7 linked regions of the Oryctolagus cuniculus genome follow. The protein of the gene in region 3 purifies or fractionates together with the protein of the main gene of each other region. This does not show direct contact. Links are inferred from orthologs where the notes say so. Each region holds a gene or a part of one and is shown on either strand. Other genes may lie near its edges. The genes, in order: SUDS3, SAP130, SAP30, ARID4A, SIN3B, SINHCAF and ARID4B.

Evidence for each region.
Region 1: the proteins of SAP30 (region 3) and SUDS3 purify together in Homo sapiens (affinity purification with mass spectrometry; 4 studies listed by BioGRID and IntAct, with this or other methods). This does not show direct contact. The link is inferred for Oryctolagus cuniculus from reciprocal best matches to the Homo sapiens genes SAP30 and SUDS3.
Region 2: the proteins of SAP30 (region 3) and SAP130 purify together in Homo sapiens (affinity purification with mass spectrometry; 4 studies listed by BioGRID and IntAct, with this or other methods). This does not show direct contact. The link is inferred for Oryctolagus cuniculus from reciprocal best matches to the Homo sapiens genes SAP30 and SAP130.
Region 4: the proteins of SAP30 (region 3) and ARID4A purify together in Homo sapiens (affinity purification with mass spectrometry; 5 studies listed by BioGRID and IntAct, with this or other methods). This does not show direct contact. The link is inferred for Oryctolagus cuniculus from reciprocal best matches to the Homo sapiens genes SAP30 and ARID4A.
Region 5: the proteins of SAP30 (region 3) and SIN3B purify together in Homo sapiens (affinity purification with mass spectrometry; 4 studies listed by BioGRID and IntAct, with this or other methods). This does not show direct contact. The link is inferred for Oryctolagus cuniculus from reciprocal best matches to the Homo sapiens genes SAP30 and SIN3B.
Region 6: the proteins of SAP30 (region 3) and SINHCAF purify together in Homo sapiens (affinity purification with mass spectrometry; 4 studies listed by BioGRID and IntAct, counting the BioPlex papers as one, with this or other methods). This does not show direct contact. The link is inferred for Oryctolagus cuniculus from reciprocal best matches to the Homo sapiens genes SAP30 and SINHCAF.
Region 7: the proteins of SAP30 (region 3) and ARID4B purify together in Homo sapiens (affinity purification with mass spectrometry; 5 studies listed by BioGRID and IntAct, with this or other methods). This does not show direct contact. The link is inferred for Oryctolagus cuniculus from reciprocal best matches to the Homo sapiens genes SAP30 and ARID4B.

The regions. Positions count from the first base shown.
Region 1 is NC_091452.1:14,546,713-14,550,712, forward strand, and holds part of SUDS3 (sin3 histone deacetylase corepressor complex component SDS3), read left to right. Parts: intron 1-370; coding exon 371-466; intron 467-1,314; coding exon 1,315-1,376; intron 1,377-1,534; coding exon 1,535-1,556; intron 1,557-2,575; coding exon 2,576-2,681; intron 2,682-4,000.
Region 2 is NC_091434.1:118,460,775-118,464,774, forward strand, and holds part of SAP130 (histone deacetylase complex subunit SAP130), read right to left. Parts: intron 2,736-4,000; coding exon 2,500-2,735; intron 1,789-2,499; coding exon 1,630-1,788; intron 184-1,629; coding exon 72-183; intron 1-71. UniProt on the Homo sapiens protein: Acts as a transcriptional repressor. May function in the assembly and/or enzymatic activity of the mSin3A corepressor complex or in mediating interactions between the complex and other regulatory complexes.
Region 3 is NC_091433.1:55,750,035-55,754,590, reverse strand, and holds the start of SAP30 (histone deacetylase complex subunit SAP30), read right to left. Parts: upstream 3,191-4,556; 5' UTR 2,853-3,190; coding exon 2,538-2,852; intron 983-2,537; coding exon 857-982; intron 468-856; coding exon 369-467; intron 1-368. UniProt on the Homo sapiens protein: Involved in the functional recruitment of the Sin3-histone deacetylase complex (HDAC) to a specific subset of N-CoR corepressor complexes. Capable of transcription repression by N-CoR.
Region 4 is NC_091443.1:18,442,990-18,447,770, forward strand, and holds the end of ARID4A (AT-rich interactive domain-containing protein 4A), read right to left. Parts: intron 2,497-4,781; coding exon 2,393-2,496; 3' UTR 684-2,392; downstream 1-683.
Region 5 is NC_091447.1:65,109,745-65,113,744, reverse strand, and holds part of SIN3B (paired amphipathic helix protein Sin3b), read right to left. Parts: intron 2,947-4,000; coding exon 2,803-2,946; intron 125-2,802; coding exon 2-124; intron 1-1.
Region 6 is NC_091440.1:127,601,966-127,606,494, forward strand, and holds the start of SINHCAF (SIN3-HDAC complex-associated factor), read right to left. Parts: upstream 3,052-4,529; 5' UTR 2,920-3,051; intron 2,712-2,919; exon of another isoform or gene 2,573-2,711; intron 1,113-2,572; exon of another isoform or gene 769-1,112; intron 1-768. UniProt on the Homo sapiens protein: Subunit of the Sin3 deacetylase complex (Sin3/HDAC), this subunit is important for the repression of genes encoding components of the TGF-beta signaling pathway.
Region 7 is NC_091444.1:54,475,616-54,479,615, forward strand, and holds part of ARID4B (AT-rich interactive domain-containing protein 4B), read right to left. Parts: intron 3,602-4,000; coding exon 3,504-3,601; intron 1,406-3,503; coding exon 1,162-1,405; intron 828-1,161; coding exon 655-827; intron 1-654. UniProt on the Homo sapiens protein: Acts as a transcriptional repressor. May function in the assembly and/or enzymatic activity of the Sin3A corepressor complex or in mediating interactions between the complex and other regulatory complexes.

The sequences.
Region 1 (4,000 bases), on a different chromosome or scaffold from region 3:
TCTGTGGGAACAGCAGACATCTGTGACCTGAGACGACCCCCAGGTTCCTTTCACTCTCGAGATCCGATGAATCTGTAGCTTCGTAATTTGAGGGAGGGGATATCCCCTAGCTTTTGAGGTTGGAGAGATGATTGCAGTGTTAGACTGTGGGGCTACGTTTCGAGAGGATTGTACACCTAGATCAGCTGGTCTTGAATCTTATAAACATGAACTCTGAAATCTAATATGAGCATCTGGCTTGGGCCATGTGTAGACCAAACATTCCCCAGTGAAATGGTTCTGCATGAGTGACTCTGGGGTAGGTAATTCTTATAGTAGAGAAATTCTTACTGACTGGGAATTAGATTTGTCCATTCTGTTCTTGCCACAGATTCTATGGAAGTGAAACCCATCATGACCAGAAAGTTGCGGAGGCGACCAAATGACCCTGTCCCCATCCCAGACAAGAGGAGAAAACCTGCTCCTGATATCCATTTGGATCAAGTTTTAGTCACTTTTTTCTCTTAAGATTGTAGAATCATTTGCCTGTCCATTTGATAGAGTATATATGGCTGTCGTCTTACAGAGCATAGCAACATTTGATTGGAAAGCATCTGTGAGTTATCCATCCACAGGTTGCGGCTGGGCCATTTTATTATCGCAGTCCGTAATTGCTAATTGCTGCTATTAATGGGAGAGATTTATAGAGAGGAGTTATTTGAAAAGGTACTTTGTGTTGGAAATCCAGCCGGGGCAACTGAAAAATTAATGTGCCTTAATTTTTCCACCTGTAAAATGAGGATAGTAATATCTGCCTTTATGTGCCTCAGTTACCTAAATCCCTAAAGTAGTGGATTGAAAACTGTTCTTAAAACAGATGAGATTTAATTCAGATATAAAGCAGCCTCTTTAATCATAAAAATGGGAATGATATGTGGGGAGAAGTGTGTGTGTGTGTGTGTGTGTGTGTGTGTGTATGTATGTATGTATGTATGTGTGTTTTGAGTAAAAGTCTTCAGATCTTTGGAACAAAAGCAGCCTATAAATTCAGGATGAAATTCTTTACTATTTCCTGTGTTCTTGCTATTTTACATACCTACTGAGTCTCATTTTACCTTCTCATCATAGTTTGTAAGGTTGGGGATGTAAATTGTTTTTTATAGCTGGACACCACGACATTTAGTAGGGAAATCAACTTTGCAGGAAGCAAAGTATTATAAAAGTATCATTTAACAAAGCTACATTTTGTAAGCTCTGTAATACTGGTGCCATTTTGTTGCCTTCTGTTTCTTTGCAAACCGTACTTTTCAGACACATTCCTTTAACTCTCAACACCTCAGCTAAACTATTTGTTAACAGATGAACAGATCATGGAGGATCTGAGAACGTTAAATAAGGTACAATTTGATTTTTTCTTAAACTTCTTTGGAAGTCAAAGCTTGACGTGGTTTCCTGCTTCACTTTGTTGTATTGCTTTTACATCATGATACCTCTGACACCTTCAGTTGCTTCTGAAATGATTTTCTCTAAGATTTTTTTGTTGTTCTTCCTACAGCTTAAGTCACCCAAGAGACCAGGTAAGTGCATTATGTTATTGGCGTTTGCAATCTTTTTATTGTATTGTTGTAAAAGCATGCAAATACATGTCAGTGAATTGTTGATGTTTCAAAAATAAAATATTTAGTGTGGGCCCAAAAGCAGTCATGATGAAAACTGAAAGGGATCTTAAGTGTGTCCCTCCTTTGACTATCTTTTTTTTTTTACCTTGGTATGTCATTCTTGTCTTTTCTTTAGGATTTATTATAAAAGACTTTTGACTGGTAGAGGTTCTTTCTATGTGGGCATCAGGCGTAAGATTCAACTTGATATGCATTTTTTTGACAATGAATTATGAAGGGTTTTCCAGTAGGACTCACATTCTGAAGTGAAGCTAGAGGCGTTTCCACGGCCTGATTCTGCTGCCGCGTCCTTGCTATAGGAGAAGCTGACCCAGTGTTCACAGTGGTTTCTTCCAGGGCAGCACTTGAGGGCATGCCAGTTTGCATACTGGAATAATTGCTTGGTAAGGCCTTAAGTGTGGGGTCACTTACACATCCCTCTCCCCACTAAGTTTATTGCAGGCAAAAAGCAACTTGGTGTAGACACAGTCCTGAGTGCCATAGTAGTCCACAGGGACGTCTTGAAGGGGAGAGGGCTTTGAGTGTGTGACCCTACTGTAGTTCTGGAAATTGTCGTTTTTTGAAAGAGATTTTCATTGTTCCTGCCTTTTTTGGACTTCCGATCACCAGGGATTTATTCTTACTCTGATTGTGTATAACTTACACATTGGACCTTAAAGCTTCCTGAGCCTCAGGTTGCTCTTTTGCTCGGAAGGTTAAGTCTGTGACTTGACTACCTCGTTAGGTTGCCTTGAGGGTCAAATTAGATGCAGTGTACAAGAACTGTGTTGAATTCCCATGCATTACTAACATTATAGGAGCTTGAGGGTCATGATTCCACTGCATTCTGATGGCAGTTCAATTATAGCATGCTGGGTGGCGGGCTCAACACGTGTTTGGTACGTACTTAGTCATTCCAGTGTGTCTGGTTCCTCCAGCATCCCCATCCTCTCCTGAACACTTGCCTACTACACCTGCAGAGTCTCCTGCCCAGCGGTTTGAAGCTCGGATCGAAGATGGCAAACTGTACTATGATAAAAGATGGTATGTTACGGGAACACCTGGATTACTTTAAGAGTCTAATAAGAACCAGTTGGAGAGGATCTGGGGCTCTCTACAGTTGTGTGTGTGTGTGTGTGTGTGTTTTTTTTTTTTTTTTTAAGACTTACTTATTTATTTGAGAGGCAGAGAGAGAGATCTTCCATGCTCTGGTTCACTCCCCAAATGGCCACAATGGCCAGAGCTGGTCCGATTTGAAGCCCGAAGCCAGGAGCTTCTTCCAGGTTTCCCATGTGGGTACAAGTGCCCAAGGACTTGGACCATCTTCTGCTTTCCCAGGTGCATTAGCAGGGAGCTGGATCAGAAGTGGAGTAGCAGGACTCAAACCTGCCCCCATATGGGATGCTGGCACTGCAGGTGGCGGCTTTTAACTGCTGTGCCACAGCACTGCCCCCATCTACAGTTGTTTTTCAGAGCATAACTGCAGAATAACTTCACAGTAGTACAAGTGGAACTCCATTTGAAAATGTTCCAGCAGTTACGTGTTGGACACCTATGTTGGATCTCAGCACAATTTTTGAAGTGTGTGTGTGTCTCTGTGTGTGTGTATTTAAGAAGATGTATTAATTTATTTTGAGGGAGTTATGGAGAGAAAGGGAAAAACAGAGAGATCTTCCACCTGCTGGTTCACTCCCTAGGTGGCTTCATTGGCTGTAGTATATGTTTCTTTTTGCCTCCTCTGAACTCTGCCCCTGTGTGCTCAAGTTAATAGGTGTTCTGCACCTAAAAGGATTTTGTGATCACATCAGTTTGGGAGAAGACCATGTTAATTAAGATAAATGGCGGGGAGGGCCAGTGCTGTGGCATAGAAGGTTGAGCCGCTACCTGTGGTGTGAGCATCCCATATGGGCGCCAATTCTTGTCCCAGCTGCTCCTCTTCTGATCCAGCTTCCTGCTACTGTGCCTGGGAAGGTAGTGGAAGATGGCCCAAGTCCTTGGGTTCCCGCCACCCATGTGGGAGAACTAGAGGAGGTTCTTGGCTTCCGCCTGGCCCAACCCCAGCTTTTGTGGCCATTTGGGAAGTGAACTAGTGGATGGAAGATTTTCTGTCTCCTCTTTCTCAGTATATCTGCCTTTCAAATAAATAAATCTTAAAACAACAAAAAGGTAAATGGTTTTTGTTCTTGTAGCCTTCTTTGGATCCTGTGATATGCTGAGGTGCTCTGAATTTCTAAGATTTTAGGTATTTTTTGATAGCTGTATCTTTTCTTCATGCATCATCCTGCTATACAAGTGTACCAGGAAGCTTACTTGGGGGAATTGCATCCTAAAGCATTTCTACTTGAGAGTGAAGAGTGTTTTAG
Region 2 (4,000 bases), on a different chromosome or scaffold from region 3:
TACCCTGTTTTCTAACACATGTGTATCTGCAGCTCTGTTCTGAGAGTCAGAACAAAATGGGCAATCTTTACCTCGAGGCAAATGAGAAGCTCCGATGTGCAGCGGGGGCCCGGGAGCGTTGCTGCGGATGATAGACATCTGTACATTCGTGGTCATGATGTGATGCAGGTTACTGGGATGTCCCTGAAAGGAACGAGATGTAGCGTTACTTCCATGCGCTTGCTATGAACCACTGCCTTTGGGAAGTCAGGGGCCTCCAAACCCAGGTCATGTCAGTCCTTTTAGACAATGTGTGCCCCAAGGCAATGGGCTGAGGACGTGGCCTTTAGCTTTTTTTTATACAGCAGACTGTATCATGACCCCTGCCAACAGGCACGAGAGAAGCAACTGTGAGGACGCAGCACCTGCTCCAGGCTCACCGAGTTGCTGGGCCCCAGAACAGATGACGTATTTGGCTGCTTCCTTTTAGAAACTCTCATCTGCCATTCATTAGCCTTTCATGCTTGTTTTCTTCATCCTGGCCAAATGCTTATTTTGCCTCGCCCTATGTTCTTTGCATGCCACTGTATCCCTCCATTCTTCACGGACAGTCTTCTAAGTACATGCTGGGCAGCATCCCACAGCTACTCCCCTACCAGCTTTTCAGCTGATGCCTGACATAGCCCTTCCTCGCGCTTCCCTACATCTCTGATACCAGCGTTTCTCAGGTGGAGGTTCCCACACTTCCACAAGTACCCAACACTAGGACAAAAGGGAAAAACACAGCACATCTTTTCAGTTATCAGTGTTTTTTGAAAGCATAAAGGGAAAGAGTTTGAGACTCAGTTTTTTATTAGTAAATAATTTAAATTTGTTTTAATTTATATTGGACGCCACTATCAAGCATACATAATGGAGTAGGATTATAAAATTTCAAAAAAAAATTAAGAGATGCCAAGTTAAGTGTTCACAAGTAGAGGCTGCTTGAGGGAACACACCAGCACCCCAAGAAATGCACACTTAACTGGAGAAAATGCAGGGCACTACGCCCTCTTCTGCTGGGAAGCTTCTGCCCTATCAGAGTTGCCTGCCTCAACTCCTGAAGAGCACGGCTGTCGTATCTAGATGTCTATCCCACAGGGGGCAGGCCCTCCACCACAGCAGATGCTCTAAAAATACTGCCCGGGATGGAAACACAGCTTGGGACGCCCCCATCCCCTGTGAGTGACTGGGTCCGAGCCCTGGCTCCACATGTGATTCTAGCTCCCTGCTACGTGTGCTCCAGGAGGCTGCAGGCGATCCCTGCCATTCACGTGGGAGACCCAGATGAGTTCCAGGCTCCTGGTCTTGTCCTGGCCTAGCCTCAGCTGTTGCAGGCATTTGGGAAGTGAACCAGAGCAGGGAAGATCTCTGTCTGCCACTGTCTCTCTGCCTTTCCTGCAGATAAAAACAAACAAACCAATACTACCCAAACTACCACTATGAATACAGGCTTCTACTCCCTAAGGTAGCTCTCCCATCCTCACCCTCCTCCCCTTAAAGACGCCAGCTTTTTTAGGACATTATCTAGTATTCGGCTGGAATTCAATAAATAAGGGTTAACAGTTTTGCATCTCAGTTTGAAAATCAACAAATGAAGAGGAAAAAAACCTGTTGTCCACTGATTGTTGCCACAGGAATGGCTGAAGCTTGAGGGATGCTACTCTCCATGGTAACGGTAACCTGCCCTGGAACCTTGGGGGGAAGTGACAAGGTAGAAGGTGGAGCAGGAGCAATGGGACGGCTAGGCATGGTGGGCTTCGGGGGCGGCTGCAAACAGAAAACCATAAGAAATACATCAATAGCCTCATACTAGCGATGCATTCCACTCTCGAGTTAAAAGTACACAAATCAAAGCTGGAGAGTGCCAGCAAAGACGCCATACGTCTTATACAGTTTCTCCCCCAGCATAACAGCGTCTGCATTGAAGTACTAGCATTTCTACTTTACAGAGGAGGAAACATACAAAGCAAGGCTAAGTGACTCCTTCAAAGCCACACAGACAGTAAAAAGTCGAACTGGGAATAAAGCCCAGATCTGTATGGCTCCCAGCCCATGCCCTCACTTCTACACAATGCTGCCTCCCAAGTTTGGGTGGAAGTAAACAAAACTCCCAGTAACTGAAACATAACCCAAGGTCACAAGCAAGACAGTATTCTCAGATACCCCCAAGTTAGCCAGCTAGTAAAACAAACCTTGAAGAGTGCCACTCTTAAGACAAAAACTTAGTAAGTCCCTAAGCTGAATAATATCAGTATCAAAACGGGGGAAAGAGGCTGTGATGCCGACTGCCTGGCCACACAAGCCAGACACTGCAGAACAGCAGGGCTCTGAGTTACGGAGGACAGCTGAACTGACACGTGAAAAAGAAAAAATCCAAGTGTGAGCCTAGGACACAGCCTGAGATTCTGTGAACACTGTTACAGGTATCAGCTGGTCGTTAGCTGTGGTTCAGGGCAAACTTTTAAGCCTCTCCATTACCTTCATGAGTCCCTCCGAAAATGAGAGTGGCACTGCTGGCGTCAGGTGTGCTGGTGGAGCTGTCACTGCGACAGGTGTGGCCGATGCGACAGCGTGATGTGTAGACAACATCTGCACCTGTGGATAGGGCCTTACCACAACAGGCTCCTGCTTCTCTTCCCGAGACTGGAGGGAGTTGCTGGAACCCATGTGCTCCCTGGCACTGACTTCGGCATCTCGCCCAGATTCATCATTGACTGGTAAAGACAGTAAGGGTGAGACAGGATGGCATGATCTCCCAACGGTAATCAACGTGGCAGCACAGCTAAGAGTGGCACTTGCGCTAAGTTTCAGAGTTGACAAACTGGCCATTTCCTTGAGAGGTTTTCTTAACAATGAGAACTTGGGCACCAGATTCCCCTGCTGGGGAAATCAGCCCTGAGGGTCCTAACTGCAGAACACAGGATTTATCCTGGATATTGTGGCTTTTGCACCCTTACGAACATAGGGTCTGATGATCATACAAAATAAACTCAAATCACTGCAAGTACAACACAGGATAAAAAACAATTTCATCTGAGGAGCCACCGCCTCCAACACCAGCTTCCCACATGGGCTTCAATTCAAGTCCCAGCTACTCCACTTCTGATCCAGCTCCCTGCTAAAGCACCTGGGAAAGCAGTGGAAGATGGCCCAAATGCCTGGGACCCCTGCACCCACCTGGGAGACCCGGCTCTTGGCTTTGGCCTGGTCCAACCGTGGCTGTTACAGCCCTTTAGGGAGTGAGCCAGCAGATGGAAGATCGAGATATCTTTCTCTCTCTCTCCTTCTCTCTTTGTATTTCTGCCTTTCAAATAAATAAATCTTTAAAGTTCAATTACATTTGTTTCTTTAAAAAAAAAAGAATGCCGACCCCACCTCAACCACAAGATGCTGCTGTTATGCTTATTTTTCTGAACATAAAGATAAAATTTACTTACGTAGAAAACTTATTTGGAAAACCATAAAGAAAATAAAGCTTCCTCAAAATCTATCCTCGATGGCTCTAACAGTTATTACTTGGTGAAACCTTTAGAAATCTCTCATTCTTTCTTGATTTAGGGTGAGTTTTTAAAGTTTTTTTGTCATGGAAGTAAAATCTTCATAAAGATCAATGCACAAGCAAATGCCAATTGCGCAGTTCAATGGACTTCCATAAACTGAATCCACTTGAGCAACGAGGCCCTGGCTCAAGAAACCAAACACCAGTGATCCCTCAGAAGCTCTCCAGTCAGCCCCAAAGGATACCCCTGCCACGCTTGGCCACCCCCTAACTTGGAACACTATATGTCAGTGGTGCCTACTTTAGAACTTCATATAAACAAAGATGGCCTTTGTGCCTTCCTGCCTTCACTTACAGGTTTGAGAGTCATTCACATTACTATAGATCGCACGCGTTCTCAGTACCGTGAAGTATGTGACTGTGAACAAACTGCAAATCCACTGTACTGTTAGAAGACACTTTCATGAATAAACCTCAACT
Region 3 (4,556 bases):
ATACATAAACCTGTGAGCATCTTGGCAAGATGCACAGATTTCTTGGTTCTATTACTTCCTGAGAACACATACCTCCATACACACACTTGGTCAACTTTTCACAACTCAATAAGGACTAGAAGTCCTGTGCCAAACAAATTTTCAGTAAAAACTTGAATGAAAGGCTTTACTTTTTTTTTAGATGAGAAGAAGTCATGGATGCTTCTCATAAAACAAATTAACATCAACAAGAACAATTTTGTCATAGTTAAATCAGTTAAGTTATTGAAATAACATTCAGGAACTTATATGCAGACCTATTCCAGCAGAAGATTCAAAAAATCAAACCAGCTAATTTAAAGTTTAAATAACATAAAACTCATATATACCTCAACAAGCTGTGCTTTATTAAGTCCTGGTCTGGTTGGTAGCTTGAAGTGTCTTTTGTATCTCCTAAGCGTATTTACTTGTAATTGGTATAAATCAACCTAGAAAAAAATTTACACATATGAATTAGTCCATACTGTTTTTTTAAAATTTACCACTGATAGGTTCAAGAACAAAATTTCAACTTCAGCACAATACAAACTTAACTCCATGGTTTATATATAAACACTTTAATCTTTCTGGGATAAATACTATAAACTGGTGGTGGTATTATATATTATATATATGAATAAAATTCTAATAGTTGTCAACTGAAAATATAATAATTCAAACTGTATAACTTTTATTAACTGGGTATATTTAACTTTGCTTTCATTTCCAGATTTCTCAAATGTTTTAAATGTTTAAAAAATTTCCTCAAATGTTTTTATAAAAATTTCAGAATGAACTACTTAGGAGTTACATTAAACATACAAAAATTTTCATCTACCTCTGGCGTGTCAATATCTTGAACAGGTGAATCACCTCCATCATCATCACTGCCTTTTCTCTTTCTTCTGTTTCGAACACTCTGAATTAAATTTTTATGATAATCACAAATGTAAAGATGCCTTGCCTGAAACAGAAAGAGTTCACAGACTGCTTATTTTACAGTAAAATGTTTCTGTGCATTAATACACACATAGGCCACAGGGAATTATTGAAAACAGTCAAAACAAGCCATTGGTAAGACAAGAGTATGTTTCTAGTCTTAAATCCTAGGCCTTGTTAAACCAGATGTCTGGCAATACAGAGCGGAGTGGGAGGAGGAAGAGTGTAGTGCCACTTGGGGGAGGGACAGAGGCAGAAAAAGGAGAATGAGAAATTCCAGTCCTCTGGGTTTTGTCATCAAATTGCAAAGGTTGACCTGAATTAGTTATTTCAGGCTGGATTTTTAACTGGCAAGGGAGAAGATGATGTTGACCACAATTCTGTTACCTGATAGTATTTTCCGCTTAAAGAGCAAACTTAAGTAGTACCATGCATGCTTTCCAATCTAATTTACTACCCAAATCATATTACAGGCACAACATTTTCCAAACTAGCTATTAATTTTTATCCTATATTTAAATTTCAATTATAAATTTTTCTAAGTATTAAATCAATGTATTTGTATGTGATACAAAGTAATCTGAAATTATTCAAATTCACCTGAAAAGTTTCTCACGAATACCACTAAAGAGCTGTTTAAAACAGGCAGAAAATGTCACAATAAACTTTTCAAAAGCTTTAATTACATATTTTCATGAGAATTGTATAGCGACACGGAAATACTGGGCTTCATATTTTGACAGCTAATTCCTTAAAAAAAAAAAAAAGGGCTGAGCTAACAGGCTTGACAATTTTCAAGCTAAGCCTCAGTTAAAAACATGCAGGACGCGCGCTAGGTTCTGACAGCTTGGTATTCATTGATTGCCAGCCAGAACTCCGAAAAGTAGCAATGGGTGTTTCTAAAACCCTCCCAGTCGGTCAAAAGAACAGAAAACGGAATCCTGATGGCTGCCAAGCGAATGGCAAGACCGCAGAGGCTACGTGCTCCCACGTTCAGAGTAGCTGCGGAGCAGCTGACACTGCAAACACGGTGTACAGCCCCTGCGCCGCGCGAGGCGGCAGGGTGGGGGGATCTCGCTCTGTGTTCCGGACCAAGGACCTTCCTGGGTGTAAGGTCCGATTGGACTCCACTTTCCCCAGAGTAGGGCAGCTACTTCACCCTGGGGCCACACGCCAGCTCGGGCAGCACAACAAAGGCTCCTCCATTCCAAGAAGGGGTTGCCGGGCTGCAAGAAAACTACTCCGGGTGCTCCGTGCGACCTGCCCCTTTGTTTCGATTCCCGATTGCAGCAGAGGAGGAAGAGGGAGGACTGCGCGGGAGAGACGCATGCAGCGGGAGGTCGGGGGGTGGGGAGAGGAGGAGGAGGAGGGGCACCGCAGCGTGTGTTTTTGCGTGTTGGGGGTGGCGGTCGGAGTTGCAGTGACTTTGTTGTTTGCTCCCGAGCTAAGACTTCGCAAGTCCGCACTGCAGCCAGGTCGGGGGTGGGGGTGGGGGTGGGGGTGGGGGCTGAACCTTGCCAACAACCCGTGTCTTTGCCCAGCTGCTGGAGCCCCACAGGGGCGGTCCCGCCGTCACTTACGCTCTTATCCAGCTCGATCTTCACCTTCTTCTGGGAGATGCTCTTCTGGATCCTCTTGCTGAAGCTGGCGTTGCCTGCCGCCCGGCCGCACCGCTCACCGTCCTCCCGCAAACAGCAGAGTTGCCCGGGGCCCGGGCCAGCGGCTCCCGGGGGCCCAGCCGCGGAGACCGCGCCGCCTCCTGGCACCTCAGCCCCAGCGCTCGCCCCGTTCCCATTTCCAGCCGAGGCGGCGGCGGCCGCTGCAGCGACCACGGCGGCCACCGCGGCGGCTGCGTCCCCACCGCGGCTCATCTCCTCAGGCGTGAAGCCGTTCATGTCTCCGCGCTCCGAGGCGCCGGCGCCGACAGAAATCCCCGCTAGTCTCGCCGCTCCGCCTCTCTCCGCCAGGTCCCTCGGGCACACGATCCGGCGGCGGCAATTCACTCTGCACCCCAAGTTCGGCGATGGCCCGGCCAAACACGCAATGTCCCCAGCCTGGCGATTACCGTTGGCGCCGGAGAGTGGACAGTGCTGGGGGTTAAGACTCAAGAGTGGGGCAGCACAGGGACCTGGGACCCCGATTACTGTCACATGGAGACTTCAACACTTGGACCGCGGCGCCTCCGCCTCCCTTCGGCCCCTGGACCTGCGCAAGCACGACGCACCCCCCCCCTTCCGCCCCTTCCACTCTGCCGCGAGTTACCACGGGAATTGTAGTTCCCTACTGCGAAGTCGTCCTGAGTTTCGCCCTAATCTGGCGTCCAGTAAACTGGATGAACTACACATCCCAGCATGCATCGCGCCACAGCGGGCCGATTTTTTTTCCAAAGCACAGGGAAAACAGGAGTGTGTGGTTGTGGATTACGCTGTTTATTCTAGTCTCCTGTGTCTCCCTGGAAGTTGGGTGGTGTTTAGCTCCTGGAATTTCGCGGGGTTGGTGTTCAGAGGAAGTCAGCCGACTCTGAGGGGAAGCATAAAGGCGGGTGGGGGAGTAAGTGAGCGTGCAAAAAAAAAAAAAAAAAAGTTTCGGGGCCGTTCTGCGTGTGTGGTAAAACCGTTTTTGGTGAACTATGCTTTTGAGGGAAACCAAACCAAGGAGAATTCAGTCAGCTGGCGCTTTCCAGGTCTTTGAGGTCCTGCAGCTAACACCTCTGCTTGCCTAAACACCTCTTTCTTGCAGCAAATTAACGGGACGACTGCTAGGAAGGAAATGCCTACTTCTTGACAGTGACAGATCCTACTCAAAAATGCCTTTTCTAAATCCTTGTTCGTTCCTTCAGTGTTTCATTCTTAGGTGCAAAAAGCAGGTCGCTTCCTGGGGTAGAATCACTGGCTAGTTGACAGTAACTGGACTACTTTTTCCCTCCATTCCCAACCTTGTCAGTTTCTCCTCGGATGCCTCTGAAGGAAAGAGGCGTCTAGAGGGGCGCGGACTGCAGCGTTCCTAAGTCATTTGGATTGCTCCTCGGAAACTCCCCAGGGGTAGCTCTGCCCAGTGTGGAGAAAAGCCGCATTCTCCGAGCGGACTGCACGGCCGTGTGTGTTGCAACAGGCTCCTGTGAGCGCGCGTGTGTGTACGTGCATGTGCGCGCGTACGTGTGTATGCTTGCATGTGGGAGCGTGCTGGTGGAGGGCGGGTTTGGAGGAAGGGCGTGGCTAATATAAAAGCTGCGCATTAACTGGTAACAGCGCACCGGTTTAATAGTCTTTTTAAAATTTTTGTTGTTGTTGTTGAAAGGCAAAGTTACAGAGAGATTAAGAGAGGCAGAGACAGCCAGAGATGTTCCATCTGCTGGTTCACTCCCCAAATGGCCATAAGGGAGGGACTGGGCTGGAGCCAGGAGCTTCTTCCAGGTCTCCCACGTGGGTGCAGGGTTCAAGCACTTGGGCGATGCACTGCTGCTTTTCCAGGCACATTAGCAGGGAGCTGAATTGGAAGTGGAGCAGCCAGGACTGGAACCATTGCCTAAATGGGATGTCTACTTCGCAGAAGGTGGTTTACTCCACTATGTCACAAGGCCACCTGCCACTGCTTTGTTA
Region 4 (4,781 bases), on a different chromosome or scaffold from region 3:
CATCTTAAAAAGGGGGGGGGGGGGCTAATAAATAAAACCATCTTCCTTAGTGAAAGGAAAATCAGAAATTTGGCACAAAATAAAAACCTACAATGGAATACTAAAATATGAAGTGCCATAATATTTAAATAACTACATTATATAAACAACTTTCCATTTTAGACATTAAATGTCTTTATACTTTGTTTTGTAGCCATAAGAGCTATCCAAAGTTTAGCTAAGCTCAAAATATGCCAATAATTGATCTGTCGTGAATTTAAATGAAGACAGTATTCATTCAATTTTGTAATCCTCTCCAGCCGCCAAATAAAATGATTTTAACAGTGACTGTGTACCTATTCAGTGAATATATAATTTTGTTCTCTGCAGCAACATCCTAATACTTCATTACCACATTTAGATAAATTAGAAGGGACAATACTGAATCTGATAACTTAGCTATCTCAGATTTATTGAACTGCTACTGAGGGACATCATTAAAATATCGAACATATAAATGTAAGGTTGTCTCCTAGTTCCAATTGAATGACATACATATTTTTTATTTTTATAGTTAAGTACAAGAAATACTTTATTGTAACTATTGAAATGCTTTGCTTTGAAAAATCTGATTTTCCAATTTTAAGTCATTGGCACTTAGGAACAAAAGCAATCACTTAAATGAAAACTAAGCATATAAAGCCTATGTTTAAAACATGGCCTTTATTAATACTGCCCGCTGAGCTCCATTTTTTATTTTACATTGAAATACTTCTGCTTTGCAAAGAAAAGACAGAAAAGTGCATTTTACAAGAGTACTTTTTTGTTTTTAATTCTCTGAGAAAATGGAAGGAATCTGAGTCACAAATTCACAATGTGGTAAAATGAAATTAAGAAACAATGATTTCAGTAATGCTATGTCATCACTAGTGTTTAGCTCTGACTTTGTTCTTGTAAATCAGATCCTGATATACAGTCTAGAGCATCTAGATTATTACTCTACAGCATATTAAACACAGAAAAGGAGGTTTAAAAAAAAACCCCTTCAATGTACAAACATGAATTTAAAAATCGCTTTTAAAAAATCACTTTTTTTTACATAAGATATATGCAAAACTGCTTAAATACATGATTTTGGAAGAATTATTTACAAAATGTATCAGTCTGTGGAACAATTCACAGACGAAGCATACATAGTTGCTTTACTTAGTTGTTGCATCTCAACTTTGGGAGATATAAATTTATTCGGCAGTACAGCAAACATAAAAACTGTGACAAAGTATCTTAAGGGCAACCAAAAATTTGATCCTCAAAACAGTTTAAATACTAGGACTGCCAAAGTCTCTAAACAAGGACATGCTTTACTGATCCAGATGCCCATTCATAGTTCTCTACTGTTTGAAGGACTGAGACAGACTCCCTTCAACCAGGCCAGGGACAGCTGAGAGCTACTGCCATCCAAAGAGTGAATTAACCTAGAATTTTCTTTTTTTCAATTTTATTAATATTTTAAAAAATACATAAAAATACAACATCCAATGTCTGAATAAATATATTTAACAAGTTGCAAGATAATACCTTATTTTACACAAAATTTTCAGCTTTAGAAATCTTGTTAAATAACTTCATTGTTGTTATATATTTCATTTTTGTCTTTTTGTAACAAAATAAAAACTCTGAAATTACATAGAAAAAAGACAAAATATTTTTGTCAAGGGATAAGATAGTCCACTGAAAACTTATTCACAATTCCACTGTAAACATTAATAAACATTAAAATATTTGCATAATTGTGTGCTCAAAAATCCTATAAAAAGTGGAAGACTTATTACAACTGTAGTTTTCAGTCAACTACACTTCCTTTCACAATTTATTTTGTCCCATTTACATCTTTAAACCTGGGCACACTGCTGAACATATACTTTGGCAGTTCTAAATAGCAAGTGCTTCCACAAAAATAAAAACAACAACAAAAAAATACAACATAAACCCCCTACTCACCAAGTGTTCAAACACATCTCAGTGAAAGTGCAACGGTAACTACTCAGCTGGATAATATTTTGATGTTTATCATGTGCACTTGCTTGTCTATGATTTCTATAACACCTGAAAGCTTTATTATACAAATTCAAATTTGCTAAGTGCCCTTTTTTCTCTATCACAAAAAATGAAAAAAAAAAGAAAGAGGAAAAGTTATGACAAATATGGCAGGCTGCCTAACCTTCGATTATTCATCTGCTTATTTGTTTTCAACAAGAAAAAAGGAAATAAGAAGGGACTAGGTACGATCCAGCCTGGAAGAATATAGAGGAGATACTTAGCAATGTCAAACCAGTTGAGTGCTTTCTGTGGTTGTGTCTCAGGGTTTGGGGATTTATGTCCATGGCAGCTGGGAAGGCAGAGGAAACATTTATCACCTGCACTCTACAGCAAGTACATTTTGTGGGGGTGATGAGGATGAGGGACTCATTCCAGTGTCTGATGAAGCAGATGACATGGAGGCTCCTGTATGAGACACTGTGGAAGCAAAACAACCGTGTTAGATTCAAAATCCATTACACCAAGATGCCTAACCAACAGCAACTAGGAAACAAAATTCTTAACATTCATTTCAATCATGGGCCTCCTAAATGTTGCATGAGAAATAAGCAAAGTTTCGGCAAACATTTTGATTGGCTCAATAGCATGCAATTCATCTTTGCTCCATTAAACAACTTAAAAGTTAAAAAAGAAATTTAAAAACACTGTAAAATGTGAAGCTTAAAGAGCAATAAACTCTGAAATCCCAACTTGGAAAATCCCAGTGAGGAACCTGGCTTGCCGCAAGTCAGAAACAAGGTCAAGCTGAGATAGATTCTCACGACAGGGAATGTCTGACTATGTTGAGGTCACAGGCCCCAAGAGTGCTCAATGCACCCAGACAAACCCCCCTGCTGTCAGGAATCGGAACCATGGTGGTCAGGATGGAGGTGCATGTGCGTGGCTAGGAAAAAAGTCCTGAAAAGTCTACCGTAACTCCCCAGGAATAGTAACACAGGCTAAGGGTTTATGTGTTGTGGACTTTGTCATTTTGTAGTTTCTGCTTTTATCATTTTTTTTTCTTAAAGATTTTATTTGACAGGCAGAATTAGAGACAAGAAAGAGGGAGAGACAGAAGTCTTCCACCCTCTAGTTCACTCTACAAATGGCTGCAACAGCTGGAGCTGGGCTGATCCGAAGCCAGGAGTCAGGAGCTTCTTCTGGGTCTCCCACACCGGTGCAGGGCCCAATTACCTGGGCCATCTTGCACTGCCTTCCCAGGCCACAGCAAAGAGCTGGTTTGGAATAGGAGCAGCTGGGAGTAGAACCGGTGCCCATGTGGGATGCTGGCACCGCAGGTGGAGGCTTAGCCTACTATGCCACAGAACCACCCCTTATCTTGTCTTTCCTCAAAACACACTCCTGTCTCTTGTCAATCTTTACTCAAACATTCCCAGTTATGTAAAGTTTTAACTTTGTTGATGTATATCTGTGGGTGTGGCTTCCAAGAAGACAAATTCCTATACGTATGCTAGAACTCTTTCAATGTAACATCCACTACAAAAAAGGAAACCAAAAGAGGAAGCCTATTAGAAGAACGCTTTTTGTTGTCTAAAACTTTAAAGAAATAAACCCCAAAGCAGTTGAGGATTCTCTGAAGAAATCTCAATTTGTTAATTTGCTCTTTTCTTCTTTTTTGTGTTTAAAAGTCCTAGGAAGACTTCTGGTTATTTAAAAAACAAACAAAAACTTGTAAAGGACAAACATGGGACGCCTGATCATTTTTTATCTGCTCCATCTTATTTCTTGCAATTAAATAAAGACCACTGGATGTGTAGTAGAATGATTGAAGACCACATCTGCTACATGTCACTCTATCAGTAACTCATCCCCGAAATACGCCTGGTTAGGCCTGTCAAGCAATTTACCTTTTATGTATTAGAGAGAGAGAGAGAGAGAGAGAGAGAGAGAGAGAGAGAGAGAGAACGAACGAACGCATGTATTCCAGCTCCCATCTGTTGGATCATTCCCCACATTCCCCAAATGCCCACAATGGCCAGGGCTGGGAAGCCCAAGCTGCAATTCGGGAATTCAATCCAGGTCTCCCAGGTGGGTGGCAGGAACCAAACCACTTGAGTTATCACGGCTGCTTCCCGGGGTCTGCATTAGTAGGAAGCTGGAAACAGGAGCTGGTACTAGGGGTCAAACCCAGGCATCCTATATGGGATGCAGGTTCTCTAACCACTTTCAACAGCTAGGCCAAATGCCCACCAGCCCTGTCATCATCTTTCTAAAAAGATTTTTTTAATTTAAGAGTTAGAGAGATGGGGGCTTGGGGGAGACAGGGAGAGAGAGGCCTTCCATTTGTTGGTTCACTCCCCAGATGGCCACAGTGGCCAAGGCCCTTCCATTTTTTTCAGAGACAGCCTTCCTGGAGCCCTTCTATCCTGTTTCTCCCTATTCCTGCCATGCGAGTGTTACCCCACAGCTCTTATTAACCGTCACCTTGAGAGTCAGTCCCCTTCATTATCTTCCTTGCTTGCTGGATCCATGTTGCCTCCTAGTTCCTAGCACCAGTACTGAAAAATCTGACATAGAAATTTTTTTTCTTGTTTCTTTTGGGCCAGCAGGTGGAGCCGCCATCTGCAGGGCTGGCATCCCATCTGCCTGCCTGAGTCCCTGCAGCTCCACTTCCAATCCAGCTCCCTGGGATTGTGCCCGGGGAAAAAAGCAGAAGTTCCTGGAGTTCTGGGGCCCCTGCCCCCGAGGTGGGAGACCAGGGT
Region 5 (4,000 bases), on a different chromosome or scaffold from region 3:
CCTTGGCCGGCGCCGACACGGGCCGGAGCAGCGAGGGCCGCGAGCGCTTTTTGCTGTGCTCCAAGCCCCTCTCGTGTCCGGCCTTGGGGACGCTGCTCGTCTCGCACGGCCCGTTTCCTGTGAACTGAGGACGGGGCGTGGGGTGGTCAGCGAGGGGGCCGGGTTGCGGCGGGGGAGGAAGAGGGGCCCGGAGCCCCGCAGGCAGGCGCCTGTGAAGCCAGAAGCTGCCGGAGGTGCTCCCCGCCGGGGCCACCCCACCGCCTGCACGTGAGCGCCCCGGAAATGGGGGGGAGGGGCTGCTGTGCACCAGGCCACCGATGGGAGCCTGGACACCAAGGTTTGGGCTCTTTCCTTTAGAAAAAAAAGTTCTCTACTTCTACTTATTTCAAAAGTGACAGCACGCCCGCCAGCCGTCCACAACAGCCAGCGCTGGAGCCAGGAGCCAGGAGCTCCATCCGGGTCTCCCACGTGGGGGCGGGGCCTGCCCAGGTACATTTGCAGGGAGCTGGGTGGGAAGTGGAGCCAGGTGCTCTGCTGTGGGATGCGGGCGTCTTACCCACCGCACCCGACACGGCCGGGCTCTCTCCTCTGTGGGACATAAGGGGGCTGGGCCGGGAGCTGGTGGGGGGCCTGCTTCCTGGGCTAGCCGCCAGCCCTTGCTTCTCCCCAGCGGGCACCCGGGCCTACACAAGCGGCTCTGGAACGGCCGACTCAGCACCAGGATCTTCACCCGCAGTGCGGGCCATACAGCGGCAGCGCGGCCCAGTGGGGAAGCCGCCCGCGGCGCCGGCAGGCATCCCATGTGGGCGCCGCTCCGAGTCCCGGCTGCTCCACTTCTGATCCAGCTCCCTGCCATGGCCTGGGAAAGCAGTGGTTGCTCCTGCACCCGCGTGGGAGACCCGGATGGTTGCTGGCTTTGGACCGGCCCAGCTCTTTCTCAACGCACAAGGGCGCTCTTGTGCCCGAGTCACTAACGATGCTACACTGACTTTGTTCCTGGGCGATGCGGCTCCCGCATCGGAAGGGCCGCCTGGCGAAGGCTGAGTTGCGCCCACCAGAGGGCGCTGTGGCCACAGCCACCAGAGAACCAGAGTGTCCCCCCACCCCCGACACCCACTGGGCAGGAACAGATCGGCCGGCCTGTTTCCCCCATGGCAGTGTCCACTGTGCACGCCCCACAGCCCAGTAGACGGAGCCCCACGTGCAACACTGACCCCAGGACACGGGGGGGGGGGGTCACTCCGGCCGGGACTTCCCTAAGCAAACTTTTCTCGGCCTCCTCCCCGCGGCCCACAGGGGGCGCTGATCCCCCAGGCTCCTACCCCAGCGCCTCCCCTCCGGGAGGCAGCCACAGCACCTCCTGAGACCGTGAGGGCCAGACCGCCCTGCCCGCTCAGTGCTGCAGCGGTGGCTTGGGGAGCCCAGCGTGGACACCGCAGGTCCCATCTGGGGGCAGCGTGCTAGGCGGAGCGCTGCAGGTGTGGGACACAGCGGTGACACCCAGACCCAGGGGGGACCACCCACAAACAACACCCAGCGGCCCCGGGGACAGCGGGGGGACACGGGGGCCCACATGGCCCACCACGCGGCTGCGCCACACAGGCAGGCCTTGAGACCCGTCTGCTCCGCGGGTACCGAGTCCCTGGAGCGGGCAGGCAGCCAGGGCCCCAGGAAGAGGCAGGGGACAGGGCAGATTCTGAACTTGAGAGCGGGCAGGGCCCGGAATTCAGGGGAAGGCGCATCAGAGGGCAGGGGGCCGGGACACAGGCTTGCGGAAGAGGGCCGTCCCTGTCCCTGGGGGACTCCCGTAGCCCCGCCTCCAGTACTCCCGGGGGTCTTCCCCAGGCCAGGCAGGGCGAAGCCTGCAAGCTCCAGCCCACACCTGCTTCTGCACGAGGGCCCAGCGTCTACACCTGCTTCTCCTGCGTGAGGGCCCCGCGTCTACACCTGCTTCTCCTGCGTGAGGGCCCCGCGTCTACACCTGCTTCTGCATGAGGGCCCCGCGTCTACACCTGCTTCTCCTGCGTGAGGGCCCCGCGTCTACACCTGCTTCTCCTGCGTGAGGGCCCCGCGTCTACACCTGCTTCTCCTGCGTGAGGGCCCCGCGTCTACACCTGCTTCTCCTGCGTGAGGGCCCCGCGTCTACACCTGCTTCTCCTGCGTAAGGGCCCCGCGTCTACACCTGCTTCTCCTGCATGAGGGCCCAGTATCTACACCTGCTTCTCTATCACAAATGCCCAGCATCTACACCTCCTCCTGCACGAGTGCCCGTGTCTACACCTGCTTCTCCGGCAAGAACGCTACTGCCCTGCTGGGTCCCCACATGACAGGGAGCCGACACACGACCTGGGGGGTCAGGAGGGCTGGAGCCCCCAGAGTCCAGGCCCTTGAGGGCACCCAGCTCCAGGCACTAGGATGGGGCCAGAGAAGAGACGGAGGTTGTCCAACCCTGTGAGTGCCCCAAACGCCACTTGGAGATGGTGAATTTTGTTGCCTGAATTCCACATCAATAAAAGGAAAAAACCAAAATTGCAGGCTCACTGGAAAGAGGGTGAGAAAAGAGGAAGTGGACAAGACAGCACCGGCAGCGGCCTGCCCCCTCCCCCCCACCCCCACGTTCCCATCCACCCCGAGGCCGGCCCCAGTCCCACCCAGCACCTGAGAGGTGGTGGCCACCCCCGCCCCCAGCGCCAGTTTAAGAACCACTGCGGGTGGAGTGGCCACACGGTGCAGCCGGCGCGGGCTGGGGGCAGCCCACGGGTCCAGGCGGTGTGCCGGCCTGGCGCGGGCCCGGGCACTCACCAGGGAGCGCTTGGCTTCAGGCAGGAACTGGCCGAACTCGGAGAGCAGGTCCTCCTGGCCGCGGAAGAGGCTGGCCACCTCGGCGAACACCTCCTCCTCCGACATGCCACGGAACGGCCGGCCCTTGGCACCCAGCTGCTCCTTCTGCCGCCCGGGGAGGCAAGGGGGCGGGGAGGGAGCGTCAGCCGGGGGGCCGGGCTCCCCGGGGCCTGCACGAGGCGGAAGCCTCCGGGGACCGGCCGGTGCACAGCCGTCTCAGCCCCGGCTGCAGATGGGCACCCGGGGGCTGGGGAACCACAAGGTCAGAGTCGGGCGCACAGCCGCTCCCACGCAGAAGGCGTGGGGAGCCAGCAGCGGGCCACGCTGGGCAGGCGGCCCGACCAGATCAAGGCAGTGACCGGCACCGGGGGGCCAAGGCCAGAGGACAGGAACCAGCCAGCTGCACTCAAGTTGGCAGTCAGAACATGAGGGAACTTCAAACAGGTTACCCAAAAAGCGAATTAAAAGGTATGTTTCACGGGGCTGGCATTGAGGCATCCCATATGGGCATCAGTTCGAGTCCCAGCTGCCCCACTTCTGATCCAGCTCCGTGCAGTGGCCCAGGAGGGCAGAGGAGGATGGCCCAAGTGCTTGGGCCCCTGCACCCACGTGGGAGACCCGGATGGAGCTCCTGGCTCTGGCCTGGCCCAGCTCTAGCCATTGCGGCCAACTGGGGAGTGAACCAGTGGGTGGAAGCGCTCTGTGTCTCCCTCTTTTATTTGGAAGTCAGTTACGCAAGCTTGCTCCTTTGTAGTACAAAAGAAAGCAGTGAGGGTGACGCTGTGCCTGGCAGGGAGTCTGCCCTGCCCGGGCAGGAGGTGGACAGCCGGGAGCCCCAGGCCTCCTGGAGGGGCCCCACACCCTGACTGCTGGCAGGCACTTTTCCCCACCCGGCTCCCTGTAACAGGGAGCTCCCGGGTGTGGCGCAGGCCCATCAGGACCACCTGGGGTGCTAGCCGAGCTCCGTGACCTTGGGGCTGATTGGAGAAGCAGAGCGGCACCCATATCCCATATCGGTTCTCCCCTATAGGGTGAGCGCTGCCCTGAGTTAGCCACACCCCCTCCACCTGTGTGGTGGTTAACTTGTCTCCGGTGTTTCTCGTGGAAGAACGCCGTGGCCCCACCATCCCAGCAGCGCCGGGGCCTCGCGGCTCGAGCC
Region 6 (4,529 bases), on a different chromosome or scaffold from region 3:
AACAAGACCCAAACGCAGCAGAAATGAGGAGAGCAGCAACAGATCCGGAGCTGCTGCTTATCGGACGTCTAGACTGCAGGCAAACCCCGGATTCCAAAGAAGCATCCATGTGTCAAACCGGCATAATTTCTGAGCTATGCCTGGGGCCGCATACCAATAAAAAAAAAAGTTGGCTTGAAAAGAAAAGCGAGGAGGGGTCAGCAGAAGGTCAAGCCCGGTTCACAAGAACCGGAGAGGAGACGGGGCAGGTTGCAGAGCCTCGACCATGTCATCCTCCCCAAAACCCTGGCTTCCCTCAAGGTCACCCCAAGACAAGGCAGCGAGCCACCGCGATACCCTCCCGGCCAGAGAAGATGCCGCGGTCCCTCATCGTTCCCAAAACACTTGAAATGCCAGCAGGCTCTTCTCGGAACTCCACCATCAACTCTGGGACTTGCATTTAATTCCGTTTGGGGCAACGGCACGTGCTGGTCCTGCAAGGCGCATCAGGAAAAGGCTTCAGGGGCACCCTCCGGTCCAAAAGCAGGTGCTTTTTTTTTTTTTCTTTTCATTATGAAAAGCGGAGCAGTGAGTTTCCTGACCCCCTCCTCAGTGGGGACACAGCACAGGGGCGAGGAGGCAACTGTCCGGCGGACAGTCGCTGCTCACCTCCCGGGTGGCTGCGGGAGCCGGAGGTGAGCGCGTGAACGGAACAACAAAGGAGCCGAGTGGGAGCGGATCCCGGGCGCCGGCACGGACCCCGCACCACCCACGGGCCCCGAAACCTACCTCGCCGGCCGCCTCCCACGCGTCCACACACAAAGAGCCCGCGGCGCGCTCGCTTCGCCCCCGCGCCTCACTTCCCCCGCCGCGCCGCGGGGAGCCCCGAAACTTCCCCTCCGCGCCTTTCCGGGCGGCGTCGGGGCTGCGTCCCCGGGACGTGCGGGGGCCCGGACGGTGCGGGGGGCAGACGCCCGCGCGCCGCGGCCCCGGCGCTCCCCCTCACGCTGCGGGTCCACCTCGGGCACGCGGCGGCCGCCGGCGGATGTGCCGGTCAGCAAGACGGCCGCGGCCCGGGGCGAAGTTCCTGCGGGGCCCGGGGCGGCCGCCGGGGAGCCGCGTCCCTCGCCGCCGCCCCCCTCACCTGCGCCGGAACCACGGGCCCCCCGCGCCCGCCCTCCGGCCCGCCCGGCGCGGCGCCTCCCGCAGGCCGCGCCTCCCGCACGCCGCGCTGCCGGGGCTTGTTCCTCCTCATGGCTTTGCCCTGACGTAATTCAAACATGGCAACAGTTCGACTTCAAAGGCGAAGCCACAGACCTCCCAGACGCAGGCTCCCGGGCCGCGGCTAACGGGCCGAGAGGTCCGGGCTGCGCCCTCCGGCCCCCGGCGCAGGGCCCGGCGCGCGGGGGGCTGCCGCCGCCGCCGCCGCCTCCCCCGGCCGCCCGCTCGCCCGCCCGCGCCGCGCCGGGGCGGGGAAGCACGCCGCCTCCGGTGCTCCAGCATGGCACCGCGCACGAGCCGCGCCGCCAAAGTTTCCCCGCGAGGGGCTGAGGGACAAAAGCCCTCCCGAAACTCGCCCGAACTTAGGGGGCCGCGCCCCGCACGGGCCTCGGCGCCGGCGCCCGCGGCGGGGCCCGCACGGGCACATGCAGCCCTTTGTTTTCCGTCCAGCCGGGCGCTGCCTACGTGCGGCATCAGATGTCGGAGCGCCAGTCGGGGGCCGGGCGCGGGGCCGCCACGCCGGGGCAGGGGCCCATCCCACCAACCAAAGTTTTTGCAGCGCCCTGGAGGAGAAACGCCCCGGATCGCGCACCCCCGGCACGGGCGGAGGGCGAGTTGGCGACTTTCGCTCTGCTTTTTAAACTGGCAGGACGCCATCATCGGCGGATCACATTGTCCTGCGGGGCCGGGGGCTGCCCGACGGGTCGCCGCTCCGGAGCAGCGGGGCAACCCGCAGCACGTGGTCTGTCACCGAGGCCACAAAAAGCAGTGCCCCCCCACCCCCAGCCCGCGTCCCCCCACGAGCGGCGCCGCCGCTGCCTGCCTCCTACCCCCCCCCACCCGGCCGCCCCCGGCTCGGCTCCCCGGGCCATCTTGGACCGCAGACGGCGCCCGCGCCACGCCGCGGCGCCCACACCTACGCCACAGGTGAACGCACGGGTGGCACAACTTGGGGCTGCGCGGGCACCGCCCCGGGGCGACGGGCGCGTGGGAGCCGGGCCGTCTTCGGGCGACCGCGTGTGGCTCATTGTCGCGGCCGCATCCCTCCGGACTTGGGCGGACCGCGCCGTGCCGCGTGCGCCCCGGAGGCGCCCGGCGCTGCACCCAGAGGCCCATTTAAACCCCCCTCGCGGAAGCGGAAGGCAACTTAGTTTTGGGGCGGATGGCGCTCATTGTCCACCCTTCGGCGAGACACGCGAGAGGGGCTGCCATGGGCTACACCACGAGGTGCGGCGCCGGAGTGTCCCCCCCCCACCTCCGCCACCGGCCAGCGTCCACGCGGACGCACCGGCCCCTGCCGCCCCGCAAGTCCCTTTCCGCCCGGGCCTTGCAGCCTCCGGGGCACGCTGCGGCGGAGAAAAGTCATTGTCACCTTCAACGTGGATCCCTCAACTCCGCGACTCCCCGGTCATTTCCAGGCTCCGCGCACTCCCCCCACCCCAGGACTTTCGGTTTGCCTCAGATACCCGCCCCGGTGGGGGAAGCAGGCACCCGAGACGCGTGTATACAAAAGGACCCGGGGGCTGGCGATCGCGGAAACGGGGCGCCCGGCATGCCACCTCCCAGACAAAACTTCCTGTGTGTGCGTGTGCGGTGAGCGTGTCGGCTGTGTGTGCAAGGACGGGGAGGTGGGTGAGCTGGAGACAGAGGACACCCCACTCGGAAATCAAAGCCTCGGCACGCAGTCCTGCAGCCCAGCGACCGTCAGAGTTCGCTCACCTTCCCGAGGCAGCCGTTCCACGCGCGATCAGGCTCCCGAGGTGCGCGGTGCACGCAGGCCGGCCCCCTCCAGGCACTCCGTCCTCCTCCTCCGCCGCCGCCGCCGCCGCCTTGTCTAGAAAGATTGTCTCCTGCAGTTCTGCAGTTGCTACCGCGGCCCGGGAAGGTGTAGATTCCGCTTTCGTTCTGCGCACGCGCGCTCCCGGGGCAAGAAATTCTCTTGAATCGGGCTCATTTGCATGCGGGCGCGCGCGCGTCGCGGGCGGGGCGGGGAGGAGGCGAGGCGGCCGCGCGCGCTCCCGGGGCCTCTATTGTCCTTTTAAGGGGAGAAGCGCCGCGGCGCGGGAAACGCGGCGGCCCGCGGGCGGCGGGGGCGGGGCCTGCTTACTACGGCAACGTCGCGTAAACAAACGCCCGCGGCGGGACGCGGTGGACCCGTGGGCCGCGGCGGGGGTGGGCGTGGGGAGCGCGGAGTGTTGGAGGCCGGTTTTGCTGGCACCTGTGACTTGCGACAGCGCGCGGGCAGAGTGCACACGCTGCCTCGGTTTGGCTGCAAGTTGCGTGTTCGCAGCTTTTTGGAAACGCGTGCGCGAGTCCCCCGGAGCCCGCAGGGAGCCCGTGTCCGCGCGGTCACGCTTGGACTGCGCGTGTGGCCGCCGGCTCCCGCTGGCCCCTCTCCCCCAGGGTAGCCCACGCACCCCAACTCGTGCAACTCGGAGACCACGCCACGAACGGGCGTGCTCGTATGGGGACGCAGCCGGGGACGCGCAGGCTCTGTGCACCCGCACCCACGCCCGGAGGATCCCCTCGCGGAAGTCACCTTGCTCCGGTGCGCGGGGCACCTGCCCCAGGCCGCGGGAGGCTGCGGGGAAAGGCTGTTCGTCCCAGAAACGGCATTCTAGTCCCCAGCCGCAGACGTGAGACGGTCAGCCGTGCCGGCCAGTGTCCACGCGCGGAGTTAGGTCGATACTTGGGAAACGCGGGTGTGACACAGCCAGTGCCTGCCGCCGACGCGGAAGCGCCCGAGCCCCCGCGGCTGCTTCTTCCTCAGGTCCTGCACCTGCAAGCGGAGCTCCCGCAGGGCCCACGCCTCGCCCAGGAGAGGGGCTCCCTCGCGGCGACTGGCTTCCCTGCTCCAGGGCCTGGGTCCGTCCGTGGGCAGTGGGCAGTGTGCTCCTGCGGACCGCAGCTCGATCGCGGGCTCCCGCAGCCTCGCAGCCTGATAGATGACCTAAGTCACTCTGCACGTGCAGGGTCAGCTTGACCCACAGGAAGCAGCCCTCATCCTAACCGAGTGACCAGGACTGGTCGCAGGAACTTCATGGACAACCTGGACCCCAGGGGGAAGTCTGTGCCTCCCTCGTTTTGAAGACAGTTTTAAAAGTTGTCCTTGGCGGTCTCAGATACTGACTCGGTTTATGAAAAACCCTCCAAAATTAACTTCTAATTATTACATGCCTCTGAAAATGTGAAAGTTCCAAGTAGATTTTTTTTTTCTGGTGGAAGAAAAGTAGTTTATTCTGCTACGCAGAGAACAAGAAGTCGGGCAGCTATTGTTCAATACCAGAATCCCAAAAAATAATTTGTAAACTTCAATTACTGTGTAATGG
Region 7 (4,000 bases), on a different chromosome or scaffold from region 3:
CATGTTATGGCCAAATTTCAGAAAACTACTAAAATGATCAAAAAAATTGGTCATTCTTATTTAAATGAGCATTTAACAAGAGATTTTTATGTTTTTTAAACCTCAGAAATAAGATTAAACTCCAAACGTTACCTATGAAGTCCAAGGGTCCACTGGAAATGTATCAATTACATTATTAAATCATTCATCATTCCAAAGTGACCAAAACAAATAATGTTACTATCACATAAAACGCAAATAAGCAATCTTGGCATTTAAGAAACTAATTAGTATTTTTCCATATTACTTTTTGCTTAATAAATAAACACAACTCTTAGAATGTATAACCAACATACCATCTACAAAACTTTAGAAAAGGACATCTTTCTAAATCCATATTATCTGGTCACTGAGCAAAACTTAATTCAATAAAAAGTACTTTTACTGAGCTAAAAATTGTATGAATTTCAATGATGAGAGCAAGAATGGATCAAAAACATGATCTTTCTCTAAAAATCTATATCGGTAGGGTCTCTGAAGGAGGCATTTATTTAAAAATGCACAGCACTACGTATTTTGTCATCAGATTTAGATTCATACATACATACATATCAAGAACAAGATATAAAAAATCAGCTAATCAAAATGCAATGTAACCAAAAACAAATTTCTTACCCAGATTTTGCTTTTTCTTCTTCAGCTTCTACCTTTATGCTGAGGGATTCAGCTACCCTAGTTGTATCATCATTATCTTCCAAATTTTCATTTTCTTCTGATTTTTTTATGTTAACTTCTTTTTCCTGATCAGACTGTGTAGGTACAGATTCTAATAAATTCTTTTTACTTCCCTAGAAAAAGATCAAAGGAGCTAAAGCAACCAAAGTAAAAATGTATAACCTAAATCCATGATCTTGATTGTTTAACAAGAGGAGGTATCGACAAATACTAATATTGAATTATTACTTTTAAGAAACTTCTGCCATTCATAAAACATACGACAAAAATATCTAACAGCCATTTTAAGAGGCTACTATAATCAAAATTATACAAATGTAGCCCTTAATGAAGAAAATATACAAATAAAAACTGTAAATTTATACAATGAATTAAATTGAGGAAATTTATAGAGGATGCAGCAGATATATTAAAGAAGGCAAAGGACAAGTAACAATACTGATTTACCAGAGAGGGTTTAATATTTTCCTTTCTTTCAATTTCCTCCTCATTTGGCTTTTCTTCTTTTGGTATTATATTCCTCTCCTCTTCAACCTTTATTTCTTTGACCTCAGTTTCATTTTCTTCCTTAATTTTTATTTCTTTTACATTTTCACACTCCTTACATGGCTTGTTCATAACTTTCTCTGGCAATGCCATCTGAAATTCAATATTTGCTGATCTACAATACTCCTCAAAACCATATAAGTATCTGGAAACATAAAGAAAAATATTTGGTGGAAATAGTTCAATTTAAAAGGTATATTCATTTGTTTTAAGATTTCAGATAGCTAGTCATATTAGCATTCTATTACAAATAGAAAATTTTGGCCAACGCCATGGCTCACTTGCCTAATCCTCCACCTGCGGCGCCGGCACCCCAACTTCTAGTCCCAGTTGCCCCTCTTCCAGTCCAGCCCTCTGCAATGGCCTGGGAAGGCAGTGGATCCAGGATGGCCCAAGTGCTTGGGCCCTGCACCCGCATGGGAGACCAGGCAGAAGCATCTGGCTCCTGGCTTTGGATCGGCGCAGCGCCGGCTGTAGCGGCCATTTGGGGGGTGAACCAACGGAAGGAAGGAAGACCTTTCTCTCTGTCTCTCTCTCTCTCACTGTCTAACTCTGCCTGTCAAAAAATTAATTAATTAATTAATTAATTTTAAAAAATAGAAAAATTTTTCCAAAAACTTCATTAAAAGAATTTGTACAGAGTGAAGATAGCAATAATATTAAATATAAAAACAGTAACAATAGCAGCTATTCAAAGTATTAGTAATACATGTAGGGTCTATTTGTTTTCTTTTTCTTTTTTATATAGAATCTATTTGTCGGGCTGGTGCCGTGGCTCACTTGGCTAAACCTCCGCCTGCGGCGCCAGTAGTCCAGGTTCTAGTCCCAGTTGCTCCTCTTCCAGTCCAGCTCTCTGCTGTGGCCCGGGCAGGCAGTGGAGGATGGCCCAAGTGCTTGGGCCCTGCACCTGCATGGGAGACCAGGAGGAAGCACCTGGCTCCTGGCTTCGGATCGGTGCAGCGCGCCGGCCGTAGTGGCCATTTGAGAGGTAAACCAATGGAAGGAAGACCTTTCTCTCTGTCTCTCTCTCTCTCACTTCTAACTCTGTCTGTCAAAAAAAATAAAAAATCTATTTGTCAAGGATTTTTTATGTGTGAGGCATTGGGTCCTTTAGCACATCTCCTTTAATCATTAGAATAATCCCATAAGTCAAGTAGCATTATCCAATTTTACCAATGAGGAAAATGGGGCTTAGGAGAACAAATAAGTGATCCAAGGGAATAAATAGCTAAGAATCGGCAGAATCAGATTCATACCCAGATTTCGTTGAATCTGGAACATCAGCTCTTTTTTTCAAATTTTATTTGTTACACAAGTTTCATATATACAGATTTAGAAACATAGCGATGGTTCCCACCCTACCTTCCCTCCCACCCATGCTCCAAACCTTCTTCTTCCTCGCACTCCCATTTCTACTCTAATATTTACAAAGATCTATTTTCAGTTTACTTAATGATGGTAAGGTTAACCCTACACTAAGTGAAAGAGTTCAACAAATAGTGTGAAGAAAAACAACACTGCTCCTCAAAGGAAGAGACAAGGGCTGTAAACAATCATCGAATCTTACAATGTCTGTTACACTCCAATACATTACATTTTAGGTACCCAATTAGTTCCTTAGATCAGAGAAAAACATATGGTATCTGTCTTTTTTGGGACTGGCTTATTTCACTAAGTATAATGGTTTCCAGTTGTATTGGAACATCAGTTTTTGAAAAAATTAATTAATGAATTAGAAAGATCTTCATCACTGTTTCATATCCCAAATGCCTACAACAGCCACAATCCATGAGCCTGGAACTCAATCTGGGTCTCCCACATGGTGGCAGGAACCCACTTATTTGTTCTCCAAGTACTTGAGCTATCACCTGCTACCTTAAAGGGCAAATCAGCAGGAAGCTAAAATTAGAAGCAAGAGACTGTACTTTTCAAACCTAGGTACTCCAATATGTGAAGCATGTGTCCCAAATGGTGTCAACTGCTACACCACATGCTCACCCCAAATATATCCACTTTTAAACCTCTATTAAGTATTTTATAAATGGAGTTGGCCAAAAATCCTTTCTACTTTGAAATTCCCATATATTTTAATATTCATAGCATACTGTCCAGAAAATGCTATCAAAAAGTGTTAGTAGAGTTTTCTGAATTTTTTCAAAGAAATAATCAGCCTCAATTATATGGTAAGTTCTATTCTATTTTCTTGATAAAATACTGTTAATAGCCATATCAAGTACACTTACTTTTTATAAGCACATTTAACATTGTATCCTGCAGCTGAATTTAAGACAGGGATCCCAAGATCTTGATAGACTTGTTTCCAAACAGCTCCACTTTCAATCTAATGGACAAAATGAAATGAAACTTCCCAAATTAAAAAGTGGATCACTTCTCAGCCTTTAAGTTAAGCTCAAGTGCAAAAAAATGAAAAAGTAATAAGATTTTGATAGATAATACATTTATATAAGTGTGTGTGTGTCTGTGTGTGTGTGTGTGTATATATATATATATATATTGGTTCAAGTCTCAAAGAAAATACCAAATTTGATACATTCAGAATTTGGTTTATACCAAAAATTTTTACTATTCTGACCTCAGAAATAACAAATGTTGAAATATTAGGACATCTGACTTTTAAATAAACTCAATTATAGTAAGTATGAAACCACCCAGGTTCCTAAACCAAAATTTCTAAGAGACGAAAGTTTTTTAATGATGTATTATTTCCTATAAATGCTTA